2 linked regions of the Nothobranchius furzeri genome follow. The main gene of each other region encodes a partner of the protein of the gene in region 2 in a complex. Links are inferred from orthologs where the notes say so. Each region holds a gene or a part of one and is shown on either strand. Other genes may lie near its edges.

The links.
Region 1: the proteins of nmt1a (region 2) and neuronal calcium sensor 1 are in contact, whole or in part, in a crystal structure (PDB 5O9S), measured with the Homo sapiens proteins. The link is inferred for Nothobranchius furzeri from reciprocal best matches to the Homo sapiens genes NMT1 and NCS1. Residues at the interface, in NP_066565.1 of Homo sapiens: Tyr180, Val181, Glu182, Asp183, Asp184, Asp185, Met187, Phe188, Arg189, Phe190, Tyr192, Asn246, Thr282, Ala283, Gly284, Arg295, Tyr296, His298, Ser300, Lys310, Phe311, Ser312, Tyr401, Leu403, Ser405, Tyr420, Gly468, Ile469, Gly470, Asp471; in NP_055101.2 of Homo sapiens: Gly2, Lys3, Ser4, Asn5, Ser6, Lys7, Leu8, Lys9.

The regions. Positions count from the first base shown.
Region 1 is NC_091757.1:35,612,496-35,618,849, reverse strand, and holds the start of neuronal calcium sensor 1, read right to left. Parts: upstream 4,219-6,354; 5' UTR 4,079-4,218; intron 3,483-4,078; 5' UTR 3,381-3,482; intron 2,484-3,380; exon of another isoform or gene 2,439-2,483; 5' UTR 2,406-2,438; coding exon 2,342-2,405; intron 1-2,341. UniProt on the Homo sapiens protein: Neuronal calcium sensor, regulator of G protein-coupled receptor phosphorylation in a calcium dependent manner. Directly regulates GRK1 (RHOK), but not GRK2 to GRK5. Can substitute for calmodulin. Stimulates PI4KB kinase activity.
Region 2 is NC_091745.1:11,800,840-11,806,675, forward strand, and holds part of nmt1a (glycylpeptide N-tetradecanoyltransferase 1), read right to left. Parts: intron 1,761-5,836; coding exon 1,669-1,760; intron 1,547-1,668; coding exon 1,430-1,546; intron 698-1,429; coding exon 527-697; intron 462-526; coding exon 353-461; intron 274-352; coding exon 103-273; intron 29-102; coding exon 1-28.

The sequences.
Region 1 (6,354 bases), on a different chromosome or scaffold from region 2:
TTCCATATCAATTTGCTCCGCTCAGCTTTTCATCAGGAAACCCCTCATGTGACCACTTCCAGGGCAATAAATGCCAAGCCGATCTCACGACTGTCAGCTAAATTAAGCGACCATTAAATTGGCCTAAAAAGCCGATACAGAACAAAAAAGAAAAATAAAACTCAGGCAATTTACCAAGGCTGCAATTTAGAAAAAATATATCTTATATAACTCAGTGAATGGCAATAGAAATAATCTAATTGGCTAGTTACCGGAGAGAGCAAGGTGGACTTGGCCAGCTGGGTCCACTGAGCTCGTGACTCTGTCACTGTGAGTGTCGTTGCCTCTTGACAACTTGCAAAATTAACACGTTTACTTAGATCTGCCCTCCATCCCTCAGAGGTTTCAGCAGCACTGCTGCTCTCTCTGTGCAGTGCCAGAGCGATCGTTCAGAAAATCACTTCTGGACAAACTAAGCTCTTTTTAGATCAAAAACATTTTCCAGACTTTGTATTTCATTATCATCTTAAAATAAGTGTGGCTTCTCGCCACACAGTGCTAGGTTTAATACATTTGGATAAGAGGTGCTGAAAAAATAAAAATAAATAGCTACTTCACCTTCTAAGATCTTATTGGAATAAAGAGTTTTATTTTAGGCCTGGTCTTCTTGCTTGTCTGTTGACACGTAGGGTATTTGCCAGAGAAAATAAATAAGTGCTCATTCTTCTAATACCAAAGCGAAAAGAGATACAGGCATGGAGAAATATAAGTCCTCAATCTGTCAAGAACTAAAGGAAAGCACTGACTAAAACAGCAGACAAGGCTCCTCGTGGGAGGGCAAGAGAACGACGTAATAAGATGAAAGACGACAGAAATGATAGACTCGGAGTAATCGCACAGGGAGAGAAAGGCTTGGTGCCCCTCTCAGCGATAGCTAACCAGATAAAATCCTAATTGTACTATTCCCTTCCACACGCAAAGAGGGCAATTAGGAGAATAACACAAAAGAGACAGGGTTAGAGGGTAACAGAGAAAGACAACAAGCACAGGACAGCAGCAAGTGGTCCAGCCCAGCATGATGCCTAATCTTCCTCCACTGCAATTTCCTGCTACAACAGCCCTCCTCGCTTCTGCTGTGGAGACCAACCACACAAATAACACTGTCATTAAGCAGCCAGTGGATGTCAACTCCCACCCACACCTGCACTGTTCAAATAATCACAGCGCTGCACTCCAGAAATAACACAAACGATTAAAAATAGTTTTCAAAGCAGACACTGATGGTGTTAACCATAAATGTGAAATGTGCTCAATTTTGATAGAAAAAACTTGAGAATTTTCTTTTTCATGTATCAACGAGTTGGAAAGGTTACAGAAGCAGTACTTATTTATTTATTTGTTTGTTTTTGTCTAGCTCTGCTATGCAGAAATGTTGATAATTTTACAGTAAAGCATTAAAAAAGATTTAACTTAGTAAATCTACCAACAAAGAAGAGTTCTGCAGCAAAACCCATGAAACCACACGACAGCTGACACAAACTCAGGTTCCTTATTAGGGCTGCACAATATATCATAAATATATCGTTATCGCAATATCAGCATGCACAATATGCATATCGCAAAGAACAGGTAAATATCACAAATGTTTGCTAAACATAATGCATTCTGTCAACGAAACGGAAGCATGATGCTTTTTTTAACAAATCAAATAGAGCTCTTTACCCATTTGGCCAATTGGGTGGGTTCTCATAGGTTAGATGCCCGCCCCCGAGGCGGACAGCACTTAATTTAGATGGTTAGCAAACACCTGAGTTAGCTTTGTTCTGCTCTTTTTGCTGATTCTGCTTTTCCCGGGATCAACTGATTGTCTTTTCTTGTTCATTTTCTTTTTACCTTTCTTCACATCCTTTGCTTTTCTCATTTTTATGATTTTTTTTTATTTCTTTGTTTTTGATTATTTTTGTTCTTGAGTTAAGTTTTTATTTATCGCAAGTAATATCGTCATTGCAATATTAATCATTGCTATCGAATACCGCAGGTTTTCCGTGCAGGCCTATTCCTTATATTTAAGTTTCCACATCATGATTTAAATATGCTGATTCCAACTTTCTGTCTGACCTTAACGAATCTGTTTGCTACACATTGAACTGTAAATTTAAATCAAATAAGCCTGACATTTAGCTGCAGCTCTGTTCTATCAATAATGACCAGAGTGAAGAATCCCTCTAGGCTGTAGAGAGGGTCACAGAAGGTGGAATTTGCAGCATCAATATATGTATTTTCATATATTAAACTTTATTTAACCAAAGTTACAAAGTGTTTAATAAAGTTATCATTTTTATAAAGACAGGCAGAAACTCACAGTAGGTTTTCCTTGTCAGCTCCTCCACCACCTCCGGTTTGAGCTTGCTGTTTGATTTTCCCATGATCTTCAGCTCTCATCCACACCTCCAGAATCGCTGTGGGACACGGCACCTGTTACTACCTCGCTCCAGTGTGCTCCTCTGCCAGAAACATGCAACAACCGTGGGCTGATTTAGGATACAAATGACACTGTTTTCTTAAAAGGCAAAACACTATTTTGTTTTGGTCTGTGTCGATGGAGAAAAAAAAGAAGGGGGGGAACTCCCATTCAAGCTACGTGAGTCTATCCTTCACTCTAGCTGTGGTCATGATCTGCACTGTCATCATCCCTGGCACATCAGACATCAAACCCCAGGGGTTTTGTGAGGCTGTTGAGTCTATCTGAGCACCACTGAGCGTCTGAGCGTCCGCCTCACTTCTTCACAGCAGTCCGTGGGCGAGGAGTGGCTTTCGGATGCGTTGCTACCTTCGTCCTTGGATACAAGAGTCACTCAAATGCTGGGTTAAGCACACTCTGCCTCACAGTCGCTCACTGTTCTTTTTACTCCACCCACCCCTCCTTTCCCACCACTATCTCTACTGCTCAGCGTACATTACAGCAGAACAGAATCCCCCCATTCTGAGATAAGGAGATGAGTACACTAAAATGCAATTAATAGGCCTTAGTTTTGCTCAAAGAGCATCAATTCTATTAACTAAATAAATACCAAGCATGTGTCACATGTTTCTACTGTTTTGAATACCTGCTCTACAGTAAAAAAGGTATCTGGTACTGCTCTTAAAATAAGCATTGTGCACTCTCTAGAAAGTTTAAGCAGATCGAAGAGTGACAGTTTTTTTACTCCTACATTCTGACTCATAATTTTCCCTCCCTCCCTGCCTCTCCACAGAATGGCTTGGTGATTTCCCTCCTTGTCACAGCAGTCAAGAGAGATAGGGATAATGGAATTTCTTTGTGTCACAGGCCTGGTATTGGCATGCACTGATTTCTAACAACAGCATCTGTCTGAGACGTGCTACGCAGAAAACTACTGCACCTTCAGTGCTAACATTTGCTCTCTTTGTCCAAAGTCCTTCTAAGGGATGCCACGCTGGTGATCACCATCTTTTGTTTGCACAACCGTTTTAGATCCTGGAAGCTGTAAAAATAAACAAAACAGCAGTTAGGATGAAACTGGCAACCTGTGATGGTTTTACTGGAAATTGGAATGGGATGGAATGGAATTCAAATAAAGGAAAAACACTGAGAAGCAGATGACTTGTTTTTTTTTTTTTTTTTTTTTTTTTTTTACCTCTAGAAGCTGCAGAGGCTAAACTCTTCCAGTGTAGGCTACTCCATTAAATTAGTTAATTAAATGGTTCTAAAGAAACCGAAAGTCATAAACAGTAAAACTCCTTTACAAACGTTTGACAGGTGTGTGTGTGTGTGTGTGTGTGTGTGTGTGTGTGTGTGTGTGTGTGTGTGTGTGTGTGTGTGTGTGTGTGTGTGTGTGTGTGTGTGTGTGTGTGTGTGTGTGTGTGTGTGTGTGTGTGTGTGTGTGTGATGGCAGCAGCAGGTGGGATGTTGCCTTTCGGCACCATAGCAACGCAGTTTATGGCTACAGGACAACAGGGACAATGCGAGGCTCGCTAGTCCACTCGCCACGTTTGGTACCCACGCGCTGTTCAGAGCTGCCAGTTGACCGTAAAAATAAAAATGCTTCAAGCTTTCGGGAAGAAATACTTTAGGATTTACCTGCGCTACTGGAGTATGAGGACTTGGTCCAGGCTGACCCACAACAGAGCGTATAGAAAGCAGTGAACCGCTGTCCTCTTCCGCCGAGCGCGCGCCGCCTCTCGCTGCTGCTAGCCCCGGCTGACCGTCAGTGCTCCTCTGATGTGCCGCCGTCAGGGAGTGACGTAGCTGCTGCTGCTGGCCCCCGACAGAGTCGCTGACGTCGCGGTACCAGCAACGGTCATACACAGACTCTTTGTGTGCCTGCACAGCCTTTACACGTGTCATTTTTCCATACCGAGAAAGGAGAGCAGACACACACCACGTTTACTATCAAGTCTTCACTGCGAAGTATAAAAAGGTGGTTTAGCTAGTTTATCGTTACCAGATTTTTTTTTTCAGTGGCCCCAGTCTGGTCCCATTTGTGAAAACTTTCCGAAGTTTTTTTTTACATATATTTAAATCAGGCACCCCTGAATTAGTTTAAAGCGTAATTATCTTATCCAAAATCCATCCATTTCTGCACTTAACAAGTGCATCATCCATGCACCTATGCATACATCATCCAGCCCTGCACCCACGCATTCATCAGTTCATCCATGCGTCATTCATTCATCCATGCCCAAATGTGCAAATACATAGTTCGGAATTGGTCTGGACCAACGGACTCAATACCTTATTTGCACGTCCATGAGACGTTAGCTGTTTGCAAGGGCATCCATCCATTCATGTATCAATTCATTTATGCATCTATTTGTCCATCCATCCATCCATCCATCTATCCACCCATTCATCCTGCCCTTAGAAATATCCGTGTCACATTAGTTATCAATTGTTCTATTTCTATTTGCTTTTATTTGTCCTAGGTGTGAGAATAATTAAAACACATTTTTAGCTTGGTTTCTTAACTCAGCTTGGTAATTTTGTTTGTTGTTTCAAGTTTTTAATTGGATCTTAATAATTGGATGAGAAAAATATATGGGGGTGTCATTTGAGCCACAGGCTTGTTAATTTGCTACAAGGGCATGCAATGTCTCCGTTACTGGGTTTAAAATATATTTGCACTTATGCAAGTGTGATCATCAACTCCAATTTTCATCTAATTGATAAAATGAAAAGTGAGTCTATTTTGCAGCAACAGTCAGCGTTTATCCTTTGCAATCACTAAACGCAAAGAGAACATCACAGTTCACTGCAACATATTTATGCTGATTTGAGTACAAATCTAAAGTTCCCAAACTGAACTATAGCCCAAATGTTTTTTTTGTAATCATGAAGACATTTTCCTGGAAAAATTCCATCAAAAATGCTATCTCCCTTCAGTCACAAACATCATCATAAAACTGTTTTCAGATGTAGTTCCTCAGATTTTTTCATTAAGATTACTGATCTATGTAATGCAGCATCTCCCACTGGGACAAAATGCAAAACAAGAATGATGCAAACTGATTTCAGCTGTACTTGTTAGAAGAGATGGGAAGAATCGTTTTGAAGTTTTGAACATGCACTGGTGTCTTATTTTCCTAAAACAATGATGCAAGAACAAGTCCTTTTCCCACAAGCCTCATTTGTAAACTTAGTTTCTCAATTGCTTAAAACTTCATCATCTCATCGAAAATGGCTTAAATTCTTACTGATATTGGCCCGGGTTTGGACGAGTGGATGAGTAGAGGGAGGTGGAGTGTACAAGTCATCTGTTAAATTAATTACAGATTCACTTAGATAAAGACAATGAAGTTTATCTGTTACGAAATATCTAAGAAATCAGTGTGTGTGTGTGTGTGTGTGTGTGTGTGTGTGTGTGTGTGTGTGTGTGTGTGTGTGTGTGTGTGTGTGTGTGTGTGTGTGTGTGTGTCTTCTCAAACCCCCGTGAGATGGCAGATAGCAGCTCAGAGCCAGGTTCTGCTGGAGGTTTCTCCCTGTTAAAAGAGTTTTCCTCTCCACTGTCGCTAAGTGCCTGCAAGGCCGGATTAACCATATGGGCAACTGGGCAATTGCCCAGGGGCCCACGAACTCCAAAGGGCCCAGGCCAACAAGGGCACGAGCAAAATACTGTATCTGTAATCTCCCGCTTTATATTAAACTAGGGTGACCATACGTCCTCTTTTCCCCGGACATGTCCACTTTTCACTCTCTGTCTGGGCGTCCGGGGGTTTTTCATCCAGGAGCAGGGATCGAATTATGGGGGAAATGGATATCCTACACATCCAGGGGAGCCGGATAAAACGTTTTCTACCTATATTACATCATTCATGAACTCTTTCGAGCAGAGAGCACATATAGCGATCATCGTTGGC
Region 2 (5,836 bases):
TCAGGAAGTCCGTCACTTTGCCCTCGGCCTGCATGGAGAAAACATCAAAAATGAAAAAATAAGCTCTTTTATCTGTAAGAATATTGAATTAAAACACTTTACCTCCACCAGGTATGTGTCGATGATGTTCTCCCGAGGGAGGAACCAGTGTTCCACTTCCTCTTGGTTCATGACAGGCACCAGGTTGAATTGGCTCAGGTACTCACGGAGGAGGCGATGCACCACCGGGATGTCCTTCTTGGTCATCGGTCGCAGACCAGAAGTCTTTGGTGCCTGGAGGAGAAAATACAGTGAACAGGAGGTTCAAAGTATAATGGGGAGCATGTGTAGATTTGTGTCTCTCTGCACACACCTCTGGCAAGCGGTACAACTTCATGGTGCGCTGCATAGTCATGTTTCTGCTCAGGTGGGAGAATTTCACTTCAATTAGTTTTCTTGGGTTCAAAGAGCGATGCCAGTACCTGTGGAAGTTAATGATCATTAAAGCTGTAAAAGATGAAAACTAAGGTTTATTTGCCAGACAAACCTGCACGTGCCCACCGGTTTGGGCAGCACCACTCCTGCAGTGTACACCGCCTGGAAGATACCCTGCAGGTTGACCCTTCTAGTGATCTCTCTGATCAGAACTGGAGCCACTCGCTTGGCGCGAAGCTTCTTGTGGACACAGAGGAAGTTGATCTCAACCATTTTCTTTTCTCTAAGAAAAACAAACATTAAAAAGAAAACGGTTACGTCAGACTTGTATGCTGTGAAATATTCACTGACATTTATGAAGAACTTCCATGACTACTTCAAGGTGTGGATCACTCATTAAACAAATACGTTTGCAGAGGTCTCGAGTAGGAATGAATGACTTGGAAGGTGGTGGGGGAGCTCTGGCGCACCATATTCAGGAACTAGAAGTGAGCCGCATCAGAGCTGAGCGTCAGACGGCAGGTTTAGGATTTTTTTCTGGACATCTCACCTCTGATTGGATAACAGCAATGTGACTACCACTGACTCTGCTCTGCAACGTTGAGGTTTAATCTCCACAAACAACTCAAGCCTGACAAAGTTCTGCTGTGTGGCGGAGATGCTAAAACTAACGGTTAGCTTCTACTAGCTGAGATCTTCTCTGCCGTTTCCTGGACGCTAAACCAACAACAGCCTTCCTCGTTGTGAGTCAAGATGGGTGAGTCCATGAATGTTCAGTGACAGTGTGACGTAGATCTGTCAGGATTTTCCAAATCCTAGAGTTTCATCATCAATTTTCTATCAGAAGCTAATGCAGGAGATAGGTGTAGGAGATTATTTTCATGTTCAGCCTGCATAAAAAACTGTGACCTATTATCAGAAATAAGATTTAAAAATGAGTTTTCAGCGTTCCACACTTTTCAGGTAACTGAGACACAACCTGAACGGTCTACTCAACGCTACAGAGTTTCCTTACATGTCGTAGATGTGGATGTTGGCTGGAATAGCGCTGATAAACCCGACCAGCTTCTGGTTGGAGTTCACTCTTACTCCACAATGCCACTGAGGCAACCAGCCTGGAGGCCGCAGGGCCCTGAGCAGGAAACGGATTTGAAGACCAGTTAAGCAGTGTAATGAGTAACTACATACATTTAAAAATATTCAGTTACTTTAACATTTGCTGCAAGTGTAAAGCTGAAAGTGTTTCATTTGTACCAGAGCAAGAAGTCAGGAGAGTAGTCAAATCTGAACATGTTGTCGTCATCTTCCACATAGTTTTCATTGAGAAGAGTGTAAAGCTCCTTGAGCTGGTTTTAAACCGATAAAAGCAGAAATAAAGCACCAGTAAGTTTTAAATGTTATGAAAATAAACAATTACACAAAAATAATTCATCTTTCCAACATCTGTCATTAGTAGTTATACATTTTTCATTCATGAATTAAAAACAAAACATGCACCGATACACACTAAGGTTGGGTCATTTTCAAGCGATATTCGACAGTCCCAAATAAATGATGACGTGTGATTTTGGCACAGGAGATGTTAAGAGGTTCTGTGGGCCGGCACACTGCATAGAGCGCTCCACCATTCACTAATGTTTTTACTCCCTTTGCAGAAGCAAGCTGCAAGGTCTTCAAATGAGACGTTGCTTCTATCTAAATTTCACTGGCTAGTTGATGCTTCAATAAATCATAAACTGAGCCATAGTTCGTTGACGCTACACACCAGACCAGAGGGTTAGTACTTCTAACCTATCAGCCAATAGCTGATGAATTTGCCTCAGCAGAGAGTGGGTAGCCCTACACCTGCTGGTCCGGGAAGAAGCTAACATTGGATGCTAACAGGGATTATGAGCATCTGAGGAAATTTTTTAATGGTTTCTGCAATCTATTATGTTGGATTGTGAAAGTAAGACCATTGTTGTTGGAGAAGGCTCTATTCTGTCAGTGATATGAGGCTCTGAATGGTGAGTTACACATTATTTTGAATTTCCAAGTGGTTTGACTAAAGCATTTACCATGTCTACAGTTATGGTCGAATCCTTGATTCCGATAGGTCAGTGAAGTCACAAGACTCCCAAATCATATATTCTCAATCACTCGCGCGCGTGCACACACACACACGCGCACGCACACACAGTAGCCTCGTTAATCTTCATGATTTCCTGTATTAATTGTTGGTTATTACAATTTAAAAAATCTCAGTTGAATATGTCATATAGGAGACACACACAGTGGTGTTTGACAAGTGAAACAAAGTTTATAGGATTTACAGAAAGTGTGCAATAATCTTTTAAACAAAATTAGGCAGGTGCATAAGCTACACACTTCCTATAGCTTCCAATTCAATTCAATTCAAGTTTATTTATATAGCGCCAAATCACGACAAGAGTCATCTCAAGGCACTTCACATGATAAACATTCAAATTCAGGTCATTTCATTAAGCCAATCAGAAATAATGTTTCCTATATAAGGAACCCAGCAAATTGCATCAAGTCACTGACTAGTGTCAGTGACTTTACAGCAATCCTCATACTAAACAAGCATAAAGCGACAGTGAAGAGGAAAACTCCCTTTTAACAGGAAGAAACCTCCAGAGAATTCTGGCTCAGTATAAGCAGCCATCTACCACGACTCACTGGGGATCGAGAAGACAGAGCAGACACACACACACACACACACACACACACACACACACACACACACACACACACACACACACACACACACACACACACACACACACACACACACACACACACACACACACACACACACACACACACACACACACACACACACACACACACACACACACACACACACACACACACACACACACACACACACACACACACACACACACACACACACACACACACACACACACACACACACACACACACACACACACACACACACACAGACAGACAGACAGACAGACAGACAGACAGAGAGGCTGAAGGTATTCTGGACCATTTTCTTATTCCAGAATGAAGCTGGCTTGTCCAAATGTGCTTTAGCAAACCTCTGTTGGTGCTGTGGGCAGAGAAAAGGCTTCCTCTGCATCACTCTCACATACAGCATCTCCTTGTGTAAAGTGCACTGAATAGTTGAATGATGCATATCGACTCCATCCGCAGCAAGATGATGTTGTATGTCTTTGGTCTGTGGGTTGGCTCGGACTATTCTCACCATTCTTCACTTCTGTTTATCTGAGATTGTTCTTGCTCTGCCACTTGGAGCCTTAACTTGAACTGTACCTGTGGTCTTCTATTTCCTCAATATGTTCCTAACTGTGGAAACAGACAGCTGAAATCTCTGAAGCCCCCTTCAGACAGGCCATGGAAAATGGAAATGTTCGGGACTCTGTCCTTAAGACCTTTGTGTCTGAATACAAACATCCGGATAACCTTTTCCGTGATTAAACTGGACGAAGCCCCTAGTAACAGAACCGGACTCGCCATGGACAGGGTGGCTGCTTCAGACTGGTGAGGTCGAGTTCCGGACAGGGAGGAGGGAGAGGAGGGGACCGGGGGACGCTGTGCGCACCTAGATTGTTCGCTCCTGTAGCATGCGGCGAACCATGGCAGCTCGCCTCCTATGCGCTCCTACGGTACAGTCTCCTAGACGCGCGACGGAGCGCTTCAAACCGCTTCCGTGATTCCTTTAACCATTGAGTTTCATCATCCAGGTCTCTTATGCGTCTTTGTGTGCACATAATTATGCTTAATATAAGTCCGATCAGTGAGAGGAATTCTATCTCTTCGTCGGCCATGTTTGACTAAATAGCTTTGGTTGGGTAAATGATGCATGTACGCCCGGCGCACTATGTTTACGCAATATCTGGTCTGACATCTGAAACTTTTCCCTGCTGTGTGAAGGCAGCCGAAGGGACAAGTTCAGATACAAAAGTGGTGTGTCTGAAAACACAGTTCTGGTTAAAAACCAGACTGAATTGTCCACACATATTCCAGAATGTCAATCTGAAAAGGGCTAGAGACAGCTTTCTGTATCCTTCCCCTAAACCATGACGGTGAACAATCATGAGCTGTTTTTACAGGACCAGAGCGTTTGCAAAACGGGATTTGCCGCGGCTCCCTGGGGAGGATAATGATCATTTATAAGATCAGCCCGTGGCAGTAATGTGGCGCAATCGTGGCAATTTTATAAAAGATTAGGTGATGGCGGCATAAAGCGGGTATAGGGGTGGTCTCTGCGCTGCCGCAGACTTCCGTTTATCTTGGACATAACTTGCTTTTTATTGCGAATGAAGCCATGATCGTTACATTTTTTTAACAAGCAGCTCCTAAAGGTGTCTGTCCCCATCAGTCCCTGTGCAGTCTCTGGTGATTTGAGCTTCAGCTCTAACAGAGAGGCTCATGCAGCGCTGCGGCGCTCCAGTTTGCCATCTCAGCTGATTTTGTTCAAAAAGCAAGCCTTACCGCCTGTGTTTACTTTCATTTTCCATAAATTTGCCAACCCGGAGCTCAGCAATAACTCCCCACATCATCATGACATCTGCCTCTGTTGCGCCAGGGCGCATACGACAGACCATTACCGCAATATTACTACCAAGCGAGGCGGAACGAATGCCGCAAAATTCGCGCAACGCCATGCCGGCATGGCGCGTTTATACACATACCACTGCGGTAATATTACGCCAATTTGCCAGCATGGTGTGTCTTATAAAAAGGGCTTTGTTTTCAGCTCATGTGAGAGTTGTTGTGAGGCCCCCATGTTGCTACTCTTTAGAGAATATTCAAAGAGGACGGAAACTTACAATTGGCCCCCTTAAGGAATCACCCATGGGTGTTTTTAGCCCATTTTTGGGGATGCTGAAACACCGCTAAATCAACTCCCAGCACCCCTAAAATTTGAGAATTAGAAACATTTTTTACTATATGTTTTTTAAAGACACTTGTAAAATATAAAAAGCATACAGTGCTTGGTTGAAACATTATATTTCAACAACAAAAATGCAGCAAATCTCCCCTGCCTCAAAAGCGGTTTGTTCACCTTTGCCAGAGTCTTCCTTCCCGAGTGGCTGATACGCTGTAGTTACTTAACGGTTTGAGTTGTTTCAGATACATGCAAATCAAACCGTTATGAAGCACATTAAAGAACAGTTATACTTTAATTGAATCCTTGATTGTTTATTCTTGTTAGAATTCTGAGAACAAATGTCAGGAGTCCAACATTAGATCTGACCTTTTTCACAAATAATAGTCAGTGATCTCTTTTTGCCTCTCCCCTAAATATCTACTAAATGAGATTTGACATTTTTGAAAAAACATCATTTTATTTGTATTTGGTTGTAATGTGAAGGAGAAAAAAATATTGCAAAAAGAGAATGGATATGTATTTTTCCAAAAGGAGGTT